Linked DNA regions of Drosophila melanogaster. The protein of the gene in region 3 purifies or fractionates together with the protein of the main gene of each other region. This does not show direct contact. Each region holds a gene or a part of one and is shown on either strand. Other genes may lie near its edges.

Region 1 (3,880 bases), 4.6 Mb from region 3:
AGCAGATCCAAGATTTTCGAAAAATACGCGTGGGTCTTGAGTATGAGCAGGAAGATGTGAAGGATCTTGATCACATAGATCTAGAGCTTTTAGAGCAACAGAAGGCCGAGCGTGCGGCAAAGAAAAAGGCTCGCATCCACAACCTCGGTGAAGAGGACGAGGAGTCTAGCGATGGAGCGGACGAGTTTTACTCGGAGGACGAGTACAATGAGGACTTGCAACGCGTTGTGCACAAGAAGGCCAAGTCAAAGAAGCCACAACAGCTGGCCATCACATCGTCTGGTAAATTCCGAGTGGCCAAAATACAACCTGGTGATTCGGATGGTGCTGGCAGCTCTGACGACGATGGACCCAGCACTTCAAAGGCTCCTCGGTTGACTGCAAAGCAAAAACGCTCCCTGGAGCGCAGTCAGAAACGCAAGAAGATTGGCAGCAACTTTTACGAGACGACAAATGTTAAGAATCGCAATAGAAACAAAAAGAAGGACGCGTAAAATATTACGTTTACACTCTAGGCTATATTTTCTTGCAAGGAAAAACTACACTTTAAGAATCCAAATAAAAAGTTGATCCTACTCTGAGCACTGCTTCTTCTTGGGAATTTTGCGGCCACATAAGTCGGTTCGGCTGCACATACTGGGTTCCTCCTCATCGGTGCTGGCCTCCGAGTCACTAGACTCCGTGTAGGAGCCGATGCCCGGAAGTATAGCGATGCACTTTAGGGCCCCCTGGTTGTATTTGTTTGTAATTAATGTGGTGTTCGTTGTCTTATCAGCAGGGTCCTTGGTTGCTTCATTTGTCGCTGTCTGTTCGACCTCATTCTCAGTGATTTTGGCTACTTTACTGGTGGTGGGCAGTTCGCCGTTTTTTCTCTTGATGCCCTGGCCGAGCAGCGTCTTCTGAGTGCTACGCCCGACCGAAGCTCCCGCGGACTTCGCTGTGGTTTTTAGTTCAGCTTGCAGTTTCTGAGGGTTGCGGAAGTTCGGGTGATTGTAAAATCAATTGATTGTTGCTGTAACTTTACCCACCTTGTCTACACTCTCCTCCTGCAGCTTTTCCACACGATTGCGAAAATCCTTTAGTTCTAGCTCCTCGTCGCGCATTTGCTGGCGCTCCGCGTGTATTTTATGGGCATCGACCAATTCCAGAAACTGCACCTCATCATCGTCCAGACCACGGATGAGGTTTTCTATACGTATATTACGCATGTTAGGATGGCCAGATTGCATTGTTTATGGCATAGTCTTACTCAGCTTGTGGGCTTCCTCGAACTCCATGTCCTTCTTGTCCTTATTTTGTTTGAGGCGTTCATAAAGTGAGCGCCCATCGTAGGGTTCCTCAGGTCGTTCTAGTGGATCCTCCGGCTGGCGTACACGCTCCCATTCCTCCTGACGTCTCTGCCTTTGCTCGGTCGCCTCAGCTTCAGTCACAAAGCCCGAACTCATGCTGTACTTTCGTAAAATTGCTCTTTTTTACAGACCACAACTATTGCCAGTGTGGTGAACGTCGAATTAGCAGCTGTGCGATGATATAGAAGTGTTGGTAGTGGCTCGTGAAAATTTGAACTAGTGGCGGGAATTGCTAATGCTTCTGTGTCATTTTAAGTTAAACGTTGAAAAACTTTCCAAGTCCCACTAAAATGAACTATCCTTATAAACTCTTTTAATATGACAGCGCCTTACTCTACCAACTGGAACACTGGGGCGACCACGGGCCCTAAGCCTGGCTCGATTTATTTCGGCTATCTGCACAAAAACTGATTTTTGGGCGGTTGTCATTTCTCGCCATTTTCTGCCGGCTATTTTGGCCAAGGAAATCGGTTTCAGATGGCAAATGTCCCGCTTTTGAAGATTAATCCGAAAGTGGTCAAAGAAAATAAAGTAGGGATTAGCGGATGGGAACTTGCTTGGTCGCATTGTCCATGGTAAAGGCGAGACACTCATCCGGAACATTCTGAAATTTTGAAAATTCTTCCTCAGGTAAATCGAAACAAATACCCTTCACATGAAAATCACTGGTTACATGACTTTATTTCAGGAATATCTCAATAGGAAACATCTATATAGGATGGGGCTTTGCTAAATTCTCCAATAAAGAGCTACAGGATTAGCAAAATACACGATATTCATACACACATATGCAGGCGTTTTAGGTGAAGACGGTTTCTCGTATTTTGTTTATACATCCATAAATTCTCGGTTCGTCCGTTTCCAATGTATATACTTAGTTTATAGACATAATTGAGGTCAGCACACTTACAACGAACAGCAAATAGGTAATACGACTGATTCTGAACTTCGCCGTGATTGAGTATACATTATAGGATAATACTGTTAGGATTGGGTCCGGATCATGATGTATCCGAATCTACAGGATGCTGCAGGAGCTTTTCTCGCGAAACGGATTCACCTTCTGTGTGAAGCCGCTGAGCAGGCAGTCTTCCTCCTCGTGCTCCAACATGTACTTCATCATCAAGGAGCATGCCACCGAGACGGGCATACGCTCCATCTCCACTTCCCGCCGTAGCTGCAAGTTGATGGAGCGCTGCTGTTGCAAATTAGCAGCCATTATGTCCAGGACGGCTGTCTCCGCGAGACCTATGGTGGTTGCTGGGATGCTAATACTGCTGTAATATTGATTTGATTCAATTTGAGTTGTGCTTATTTCGATTTCCCCAATATTGTAAGCGAGAAATATGCGCTCTACTTCTCGATGAAATATTTTATTGGGGGCGCTGAAAAATCAATATTTATAAAAAGTGTGACCGCGTTGAGAATGGTGCTTTAGTTTTCCGACTTTTGCCAGCCGTTGGTGAAAGCTTCTTGTTGGTGTGGGGAAAGATTTCACAGTTTTTGAATCTTGGAATAACTATAAGCTTTCATAAATTGTATCAATATATGTCCTATTGGCTATAGATTTTTTTTATCAATGTTTTGTACACCGTTTATTTTATTTATTGCAAAAATATATAGTTTACAACTGTTTTTATTTAAAGTTAATTATGTGAGCATGCTGGAAATAAAAATGAAATTATGAGTAAAATTAATTAGGTGATGTTTCTAAAAACTTACTCTGGCATAAACTCTGTCGACTGCTTAGCATGCGCCTCCTCCGGATTCAGGTTCAACTCCTTGGTAATGTCTGAGTCCGGTTTCCGGAATGCATTGGCCATAATCAGAATGTTCTTGGCTATTCTTTTCTGATCGATTCGCTTTTGAGCCGTATCTGTCCGTCTATTAGCGTTCTCCGACATCCGCTGCTCTATTGGTAAATCTGGTCCTGGTGGAGATTGGAGCGGTTCTGGATTTGTCCAGATCTCAGTGCCAGGTGTTTCCTTTCCTGTCGTTGGGGATATGGCCGGACGTGCTGGTATCAATGGGGAACGCACACAGACTCTGTAAAAGAATATTAATAAACATTAAATCATAATTTAATCATAGTGTTTTTACTTTGTAATGAAAAATGTAGAGAAGCTACGAGCTTCATAGGAACAAAAACAAACTTTTATTACAAATCCTTACATGACTAGTCACACTCTTGGCTTGTTTTTTTTTAACATTTACGAATACATTTTACATAAAACTGGTTAAAAAGTAGAAAACATTCGATATATGTATATAGGTAATATTTCACTCCTTATTCGGCTGGACCTTCTGGCTTGGCTCACTGTCCTCATTCCCGTTCGGATTCGACCTAGAACGAGTCAGAAATGGGAGAGAACAATGAGCCAGTCCTGGAGAAGGAATCAAAAACCAGTTCAAGACTTAAAACTATCGTTCCGACCCGAATTCAACATGCAAAGCATCCCACTTACTTATTGACATCCTCCAGCTTCTTAAGCAGGCGCTCGTTTTCTCGGCAGACTATCTCCTGATCCCTA
Region 2 (3,817 bases), on a different chromosome or scaffold from region 3:
GACAAGTGGAAGCGGCAGGTGCGCGAGCAGAGACGCCACATCTACGACAGGCATACCATGCTAAACTAACAAGGGGTTCGGTTTGCAGCTGGCGGAGATTAGGAGGCGCATGGGCGACTTAAGACACGTATTCCAAGCAGTTATCCTTTGCGAAATTCCCCTTTGGATCAAATTGATTATCTGTATATTTAGCCAGATTTTATGTTAATTAAAATAAACCAAAATATGTTTGTCAGGAGTGTTTGCATATTAATTAATAAGTTGAATGCCGGGAGGAATAACCAACAAATCCACTAAAATAAAACTTTTAATGATAATTGATGGTTATAATTTGGGAAAATAAGGAACGTAAGACCGTAATGGTGAGTCCAAGTTAGATTTGGAAACTCCCTTGGGCTTCTTAGTTTGACGCCTACTTTTTGATTCCATCAGTAGAGATTAACGAAAGAATAACTCGAAGATAGTTTCTATCACACAATAACCATAACTTTAAACGTATTATTTTCAGCCACATTTATTTTTAATAAATCATGTAACCACATATCCTTAGACAAGTGTTTTTTTTTAATGCAAAACCGCCGAGCTAGACCTAAACTAAGTTCATTCAGAATCGGAGGCTCTAGTATCCCTTTATGGTTTCGGCGAATGTCCAGTTTTCGTTAACTTGGAAGGGCCCCTCCACGCCGCATCCGTTGACGCTGCACACGCCCACAGTGTATTGGGAAATATTACGAGTATCGCGGTAGTAAAGCACCTCCATGCATGTGCGGATCTAGAATATAAGAAAATGGTAGGGTAGTTAAATAATGAAGAGTCCCCCCATCAGAGTTCGAAATTCCTTACCAGTTCGGAAGCTTCTACGGCGGTAAAGTCCCTGTCCTTGGGCTTCTTCTCACGGACCAGCGGAACGGCCAAATGGCGGGCAAAACCAGTGGCCACCACGTAGTCCTCGTAGGATCGTCCACGGAGATCCACGTTGGCCAGGTACGGAGTCCCCTCGTTGTCCACGCCGCCGACAACCACGTCAATGTAGAGGGGGTTCATCCGCGAACGACGGTTGTAGAGCACACGGGTCATCCAACTGGCCAAGGACTTGGGCTTCATCTCGATGTTGTCGTCGCAGCACTGGTCCTCGATCATCTTCTGGTCGATGTTGCGCTTGATGGACTGGATGTCAGCGAAGTCGCCGCTCCCGCCGAGCAGGATGTTCTTGTTGACCTTAAAGACGCGCTCAATGTTTTGGTAGCGGGCCATGGATCCGTAAGACACCAGGGTGTCGGCGGCCAGCATCACTCCTGAATCATAGCGAATGCCAAGCACGGAAGTGCCCGTGGTGCTGGAAGCACTGCGGAATAGTAAAAGGAGTGTAAACAAGTGGTACATCTGCATATAAACATATCCGCAGTTCCTACGTGCTGTGCTTGGTTCCATAGGGTCCCATTGTGGTCAGCTCCCGCGGTAGCTGCTGGACCGGCGTCTGTCCGCCCGTGAAGTTGTAGAACTCGCCGGGAGCGGGTCCGTTCTGCCACATGGGCTGCGCTAGGCTGTTGTAGTTGTTCAACATGCTAATTTATTCGGAGACTGGAATAACGCGAGACTTTGAAATGTTTGTCGCTGCCGGAGAATGACGGGCACAAATAAAATCAAGAGTCAGCGCAGTGTGAACAGACTTTAGGCGGGCGGCAATACCAGTATCGGCAACCGGTAGCTAAAAATACCAGACATACCAAAGATGAATCCACTATTAGCTTGGTCACACCGTTTTACATGTGTTAAATTAAATTAATTTGAAGTTTAATTGTGAACTTTTTAACATTTTATTAGATGTTGATGTTAAAAGTAATGTAAAACAGTTAACACCACGCTGCCTATACTGAATTTGTTTTTTTACTTTTGTCTTTATAATCCTCGTTGATAATACAAATCAAGGAGAAGAAAGATAAGAAATTAAAGAACTTTTCACTCAATTAGGATTAAGACTCATGTATACCCGTTGCTTCTACGGTATTTACTACTCCTTGAAACTAAATATATGTTTAGTTAATATATAATGACCATTTGCTTTACTTCATTTTAAGCCGTTCAATGGTCATTAAAGTATAAGAATCGAGAGCAATAAATGTAAATGACGTTTGGAAATTATCCTGGTCAATCTACAAATCCAATATCTCCCTTCTCTCCCTTCGAACACGATTCTCCATAGCTTTTTAAGCGGAATAAGGTTCTTTTGCTAAAACTTCTGCTTTTATTCATATTGGTGGGAAAAACGCACATGTTCCGGATTGTTGTTTTTGGGAACCCAACGAAGTTTTTTATCATAACATTTGATCATATAAATTAATAATAAAGAATTATAAATTTGAAGACATATAAATACATTTTTATTGCCAGTATACCAGTACACAATTTGTAAATATATAGGTATGTGCATAATGCTTCCGAGGGGAATGTTTAGGTTGCTGCCGCATCTTTCAGATGCCATAATACAGTCGATAATATCAGTTGCTTTATTGAGCTATGCTAAAAACAATGACGGGGAGACCCGCTCTTTAACACGATACATATACGAATAAGGATACCCTACGCAAAACTAAGAGCTACATGTCACGGCCAACGATTGATGCTAATTCTATGGGGTTAAAGCTTCTAGTCCTTGCAGCAGCAGTAAACATTGTCGCTAGAGCTAGCTGGGGTTGTGGGCGTGGTGCCGCCCTTGAGGGGCTTGCTGTAGGAATGGGGACCCCGCATGAAGACCTCGATGAGCTGACAATGCGATCTGCCAGATACGGAACGGTTAATAAGCGATTTATTGAAGTTAAAGGTACAACCAACTCACCGCATGGTTATGTCCAGGTCGGTCACCACCTCTCCATCACAGTTCCAGCTGGAAAACTCCGTCGAGGAGGAGTGGGCGGTCATTTCTTCAGGCGGTGTAATCGGCTGACAAGACCCTGCCAAGCTGTAGTCCTCCTCGCTGGCAGAAAAAGTTCTGAACCGGAATTCCCTTGTGCGATATACCTCTACAAAAGGCAAATTGCGCTGCAATGGGAAAATGTTTTTAAATATTTATTGTTTTCTACAAAATTTAATTGTATCCTTTTATTTTTCATTTATATTTTTACAGTAAAAGATACCATCGCATTCACTAGATAAAACATTATATTGTTGAAACTGGTCAAGTATATACTTTATATGGATGCCACCAGAGCGGCTAGTAGATCTTCGTAAAATAACCTTTCTGTCACAGATTTCCCTCGCTTCAATCCGAGCTAGATGGGGTTCGGTTTTGGGTTTTTGGCTTTTAGGATAGAAAGCACTAAGCTCAGCTTGTAGGCTTAGGGGATTTGGCAATTAAAGATGCAGTTAAAATGTTATGGAAATGTTATTTCAAAGGAAATGGACGCCTCTTATAGGAAAGGTGTTCTTTTGGATGTGAAAGTTGAATAGTTGTAATAGTTAGTACTCACAATATCACCACTTCTGCCCGCCGTGTTGAGCAGAAAACGCACGTTGTTGAGCAGTGAGGTCTTTTTCACGAGAATCAGGTCCAGGCAACCATCACCCAGATGACTGTAACGGGAGATGCCATTGGGACTCCTGGCGCAGGCGCAGGTTATGTTCGCGCCGCAGATCATAAAGAAATTGCCCCGCACAACCTTCCACTGATCGTTGCCGAGGTTCCTCATTGATGAAATGGAGCCAGTGGGCAATCGAAGATTGCCTGGACGCGGACGAGGCCTCAGGAGTGCTGCTTCACTGGCGGCTAGATGAGAGTCCTCTGTTTCTACCTGCTGATTGCGCTCTGCCTCTTTAGATT
Region 3 (5,118 bases):
GGAATAACGATCGTGACAGGGATCGCAATGACGGACAGTATGGGGGCAATCAGCTGCTGGGTAGTAAGGAATTGGCACCGAGGTTCAAACGCAACTTGATCACCACGAACCAGGATGCGGTGGAGAACTTGCAAATGCGCCCGGCAGCCAACTCCTTGCTCTTCCGAGCGGCCTCCCAGAACCAAAAGTTTCCGGCTACGTTGCCCATGTCAACACCGCCCAATAGCAGCGGCAGCAACAACCAGGGCAGCTCGCAGGGCCAGCTCTCGAACTCCCACTACCCTATGCTCGGCACGCCCACATCCCATCTGATCAATCCAACGCGTCCCTCGTCAACACCATCTGCTGAGTATGCTGATAACCGAACTCTTTTGGGAGTTCAACAGGAGAGGGGATTGAAGGCCACCTCTTCTTCGCCGAACTTTTCATCAGGAGCGGAGAAGTTGGATTTAGACGGTCAGGCGGGCAGAAAGGGATCGCACGACGGCAAAGATCAGGGCAAGAATGGCTCCGTGGAGAGACCAAGCACTCCGGCCGGCGGTATTGGCTCGGCCAAGCAACAAAAGAAAGATAAGGGTCCCAACAAGGAGGAGCTGTCTAAGAAGGCCAGTCAGTACTTCAAGGATAGGTTCTACTACGATGAGGAGGAGGATGCAGAGGTGACGGAAATTGAGATCAAGGATATTGATGAGACAAAGACGGAGGAGGCCGACGCTGCTCCAGTTGAAGTCTCGGAGGTAAAGGAAGATGCTGCAATACCTGTGACCACTCCAGATCGCTTCACCAAGCTTGTAGATGGTTTCCTCGAGCTTAAGCTGCCAGAGAAGGCGCTGAAGGATGTGTGCATCAATCTGCTGATGGAGGTCTTGGACCGTGTAAACGATGTCTTCTTGGAGCGTGCTGTGCGCCTTCTGCAGACATTGCGCAAGCAATCCAATATCAAGCCGAACATCGTGGTCGAGATTTTCAAGCAGGTGGTCAACAAGATGAACGAGCGAGAGGCACTCAATCCCCGAATCGTTAGTCTTGTAGCCAGCTTGCTGGCAAAGACAATTTGCGAGCCAGCATTGCTGAAGTTAAGCGATATCGCCAACTTCACGGACAATGGCCAACACTATCCGCTGTTCCTGCTCGTGCTGCAGCAACTGGTCAAGGTCATCGGCAAGGATGCGCTGGAAGAGAAATTCCGGGCGAGCAAAGTTGATCTTATGAACAGCCTGCCGGAGGCGGATCGGAACAAGGAGCGCTTGGCCGGGATACTCGAGGATCGCAAGCTTTCTTTCCTTTATCCGCTATTGAAGGTACAGGCCGAGATGCTAAAACAGCTGCAAAGCGACCCGAACCCCAACAACTTCTACAAGTGGATCAAGGCCAACGTTGACAACAAATACTACAAGGACCCGGGCTTTATCCAAGCCCTAATGACCGTGGTGGTCAAGTATGTGACCAAGGAGACGACGCTGGCGGACAACCTCGACCCCAAGGAGCACCCTGAGAAATCGGTGACCCAGAAGGAGCAACAGCTGCTGGAGAACTACAGCCAGATGCTGCAGACCTTCCTGGGACAGAACGAGCTTCAGTTGATGGCTCTCTATGCTCTGCAAACGTTCTGCTACAATGAAAATTTCCCCAAGGGTAAGTGCTCAACATTTTAAATCTAATCTGTTTTATCGGCAACTTATATTTGCTTTTTTCTTCGTTAGGCATGCTGTGCCGTTGGTTCAAGTATCTTTACGAATCTGAAATTATAGAGGAGGAGGCATTCGTCCTGTGGAAGGAGGAGATTTCCGACAAATATCCAGGCAAAGGATCCGCTTTGTTCCAAGTGAACGCCTGGTTGACTTGGCTGCAGGAGGCCGAATCTGAGGACGATGAGGATTAGAAAGCAACGCAGTCCCGCATAATAACAGCGCTATATGTTTATCACTTCCAATATTTATTCACAAATCGATAATGATTACATGATGAAAAACAACAAAACTAACAAAACACGAAAAATAAGAAACAAAATACCATCAGGGTGGAAGTTTGAAATCGCGGTTGCAAAACTTAGTCAAATTATAGTAAAAAAGAAAAACAAAACAAAAAAAATTAATCAAAATTATTTGATATCCAACAAATTCAAAGAACATTAACAATCAATTATCAATAAATAAAGCGCAATAGACGTCAAATATAACCGATATTTATCCATACATCATAATTCTCATTGACATTTCAAGCATAACGAATAATTAGTGAATTTCATCTTTTTTTTTTAACATAACAACCGGAACTGATCTTTAAATCGAATAACGTTGATTTCAATTGCCTTTTTTTGGTACTCTCGACGATTTCCCTTTTGTGTATTTAAATAAGTAGGTCAAATCAAAGCGACAACATTAACATTATAGAAAAGGAAAAACCAATCGACGCGCGCCGAAGAGAGCAAAACAAAATCTGAATGTAATTGTGAACAAAATATCGTATATATGTATTTAACTCAACCAACGTAAACATTAAAAAACTCGCCCACATTAAATAGAGCCTTAATAAATGCAACCAACACTGCGAACGGCGAAATCAAACTGACTTTCATTGGCTTTTGAGGGAGTAATGCAAATTTAAAATCCGCGCCTAAGCTCTGTAATAGCTGCCTATCGATACAATTTTCGATTATTTTGAAAAGCTATCTATGGTCGTTTCGTTATCTGGCAACACCGCTCCGGTCAAACTTGCTATTTCATTGTTTTCCTTGTGAATATTGCTTGTTTATGTATAAAATTCACGACTAATGGATAGCGTTCCTGCGAATGTTGTGCCTGCGAAGGAGTCTGGTGGTTTCACCTCACATTGCGTCCACTTGGCGGCGGGTCCCTCGCAATTCACCGTGCGCGCCCTGAAAATGCAAGGCAGCACCATGCTGATCATAAACCCCAAGGGATTGGAGGTTTTCGAGGAGCTAGCGGTGGCCATGCCCTCTCGCAATCCCGCCAGCAGCCAGTCCCTATCCTCCACAATCCTGGGCGGACACGGGCAGACCGACTCATCTGTTCTGGCCGCCAAATTGAGTAAACGCTACTGCCGCCAGTTCTACGTGAGCCTTAATCTCAAACTGGATCGATTAATGGGCCCTCTGTTCGAGAAGACGCTAGTCACCTACATGCAAGACCATCTGGAGCACTTCGCTTGAGTGGGTACAACAACTTAGTGTGGCATAAATTTAATCCTCAATCGCTGACTTATTTCTGGTTCACGTGCACACAGGGCCCGCCTGCGCTACCGATGACACGGCGCCGCGTGGGGGTCAACGTCTATTTCGGGGACCGGCGGCTACCCCACGGACGCAGCTTCACGTACTCTACGCACTCCATCAGCTAACTATCTGGGATCTCCGATTCCCGATCTCCGCTCAGACGTCATGCGGCGGCCGAGTGAGCACGAACTTTAAACGTGTATCGGTGATACGAATTTTGTACAATAAATTTATTGCCCTAAGTAAGTTTACAGACGCATGTGGGCTTTATCAATTGTGTCGCGATAGCAGTGCTCAATGTAAGAAGAAGTCACCCGCTGTGTGAGTGATCGCGTGCCACCCGCATGCTATTCATGCTGCTGCTTCACCACCCAATGATTTGAAGGTCAGTTTGGCTGCAGTGATGATCGCTTGATAGGTGATTTCCCCGCCATCGTATTAAATTCGAATATACATATGTGTGTGTTCGCATTGCGCCGGTTTGTTCATCAGGCCTCCGTTTCGGTTTCCCTTTCGAATGAATGTTTAGGTTTAGGGAGAAGTTAATATGTAATAATCATTCGGAAGTTTTCCAAATGGGTACCATTTCAGTTTGATCACTGAATACCTCTGACAAATAATATCATTAGATTTGTTTTTATGTTGTTAATTTGAACTATTCGAAAAGTTAGTAGGATACCACTATCAAATGTATGTATTAACTAGCGGGTTTACAATTCACAATGTGATTAACAAGCTTCTAAATTTGTGTGAATAATACTGGTTGAAAATATTATATCTCTTGTTACAGTTCGTTTAGCTTTTGAAAAAATGATATTGGTGATGACTGACTATAGGAACTCTCAACTTTACTAATTACCCACGAGCAAAAAGTTGATGTCACTTCCTGCATGAGTTCCCAATTATAATGATTGCGATATCCAAAATATCCAAGTCACTATTCACTATTTCAGAATGGTTCTATGTCACAGAAAGTCTGCAACTTGAACAGTTTGATACTCAGGTATAGATAGTTGAAGGACCAACGCGACACCTTCATAATGCCCTTTATCTATCGGCATTCTCAGACTGAAAGTTGGCTATACTTCCTGCCCGCCAATCGTAAATATAAATCGGTTGATAAGACGTCTGAATTACCCCCGCCAAGAATGCCAGTCATATTTTTAATGGAACAGCCCCCAGCAGCGTTGTGCTATGGTTGTGTTGGATCACACCGCCTGGAGGTGCCATTGAAACTTTTCCGCTAAACAACCCAATGGGAGGGAGGGAGCAGCAACAAAATGAAAAACACTAATGTACGAAAAAAACAAATTTCGCCTCTCATAATAATGCCCAGTCTAGACGAGATATTGTCAGGCGTATCAGTGGTGGTAACAGCGACAAGAGCATATCGCTCCAAAAAAAAAATAGCAGCACCCATTGAACGGGTATAAAAATAGAGCTTCAGCCGGAAGGTCTGCGCTCCGGGGTCTGTGGGCTCCCACGAATGTCTGGAATGTTTTTTTCCCCCGTTTTTTTTTTTCTGCTTTTGGTTTCCCCAGTTGCCTAATAACTTTTCCTTTTTGGCCATATCAAAAGCTGTCTGGCGATAAGCGCCCTATAAATAATAGATCCGAGTCGGCCGAATTCGAGCAGCCATCTGTAATTATCGGGTCGGAATGTGAGTGCGAGTAGTTGTGGCTTCCATGCCTCGGTTGCATGTCCCTGGCTTGGATGACTGGCTGGCCCGGCTGGCGGTACATGGACTTTGGAAGTCTATCGTTGGCGGCAACAAAGTAATTAGCCTTCTGCGGGACTACCATAGTCATATCAGCGCCCCCAGTGGGTTCCCACTGCAGCGATAAGCCGGCTGGACTACGCGTGGAACCTTCTCCGCGGCGGCT

Evidence for each region. The genes of interacting proteins can lie anywhere in the genome.
Region 1: the proteins of CG13319 (region 3) and CG14480 purify together in Drosophila melanogaster (affinity purification with mass spectrometry, with the first as the bait; one large-scale study listed by BioGRID). This does not show direct contact.
Region 2: the proteins of CG13319 (region 3) and Prosbeta7 purify together in Drosophila melanogaster (affinity purification with mass spectrometry, with the first as the bait; one large-scale study listed by BioGRID). This does not show direct contact.

Annotation. Positions count from the first base shown.
Region 1 is NT_033778.4:17,562,473-17,566,352, reverse strand, and holds CG14480 (uncharacterized protein), read right to left. Parts: upstream 2,014-3,880; 5' UTR 1,917-2,013; coding exon of another isoform or gene 1,606-1,916; 5' UTR 1,446-1,605; coding exon 1,250-1,445; intron 1,190-1,249; coding exon 1,029-1,189; intron 966-1,028; coding exon 573-965; 3' UTR 501-572; downstream 1-500. Other genes in the region: Ns2 (nucleostemin 2), read left to right, coding at 1-494; CG46428 (uncharacterized protein), read right to left, coding at 1,635-1,916; CG43324 (uncharacterized protein), read right to left, coding at 2,368-2,568; Klp54D (Kinesin-like protein at 54D), read right to left, coding at 3,000-3,012, 3,072-3,395, 3,815-3,880.
Region 2 is NT_033777.3:5,356,512-5,360,328, forward strand, and holds Prosbeta7 (proteasome beta7 subunit), read right to left. Parts: upstream 1,854-3,817; 5' UTR 1,565-1,853; coding exon 1,413-1,564; intron 1,346-1,412; coding exon 844-1,345; intron 773-843; coding exon 620-772; 3' UTR 501-619; downstream 1-500. Other genes in the region: CG1161 (uncharacterized protein), read left to right, coding at 1-69; Cerk (ceramide kinase), read right to left, coding at 2,647-2,776, 2,837-3,039, 3,468-3,817. UniProt on the Drosophila melanogaster protein: Non-catalytic component of the proteasome, a multicatalytic proteinase complex which is characterized by its ability to cleave peptides with Arg, Phe, Tyr, Leu, and Glu adjacent to the leaving group at neutral or slightly basic pH.
Region 3 is NT_033778.4:12,921,176-12,926,293, forward strand, and holds CG13319 (uncharacterized protein), read left to right. Parts: upstream 1-2,728; 5' UTR 2,729-2,773; coding exon 2,774-3,172; 3' UTR 3,173-3,176; intron 3,177-3,246; 3' UTR 3,247-3,489; downstream 3,490-5,118. Other genes in the region: NAT1, read left to right, coding at 1-1,635, 1,704-1,882.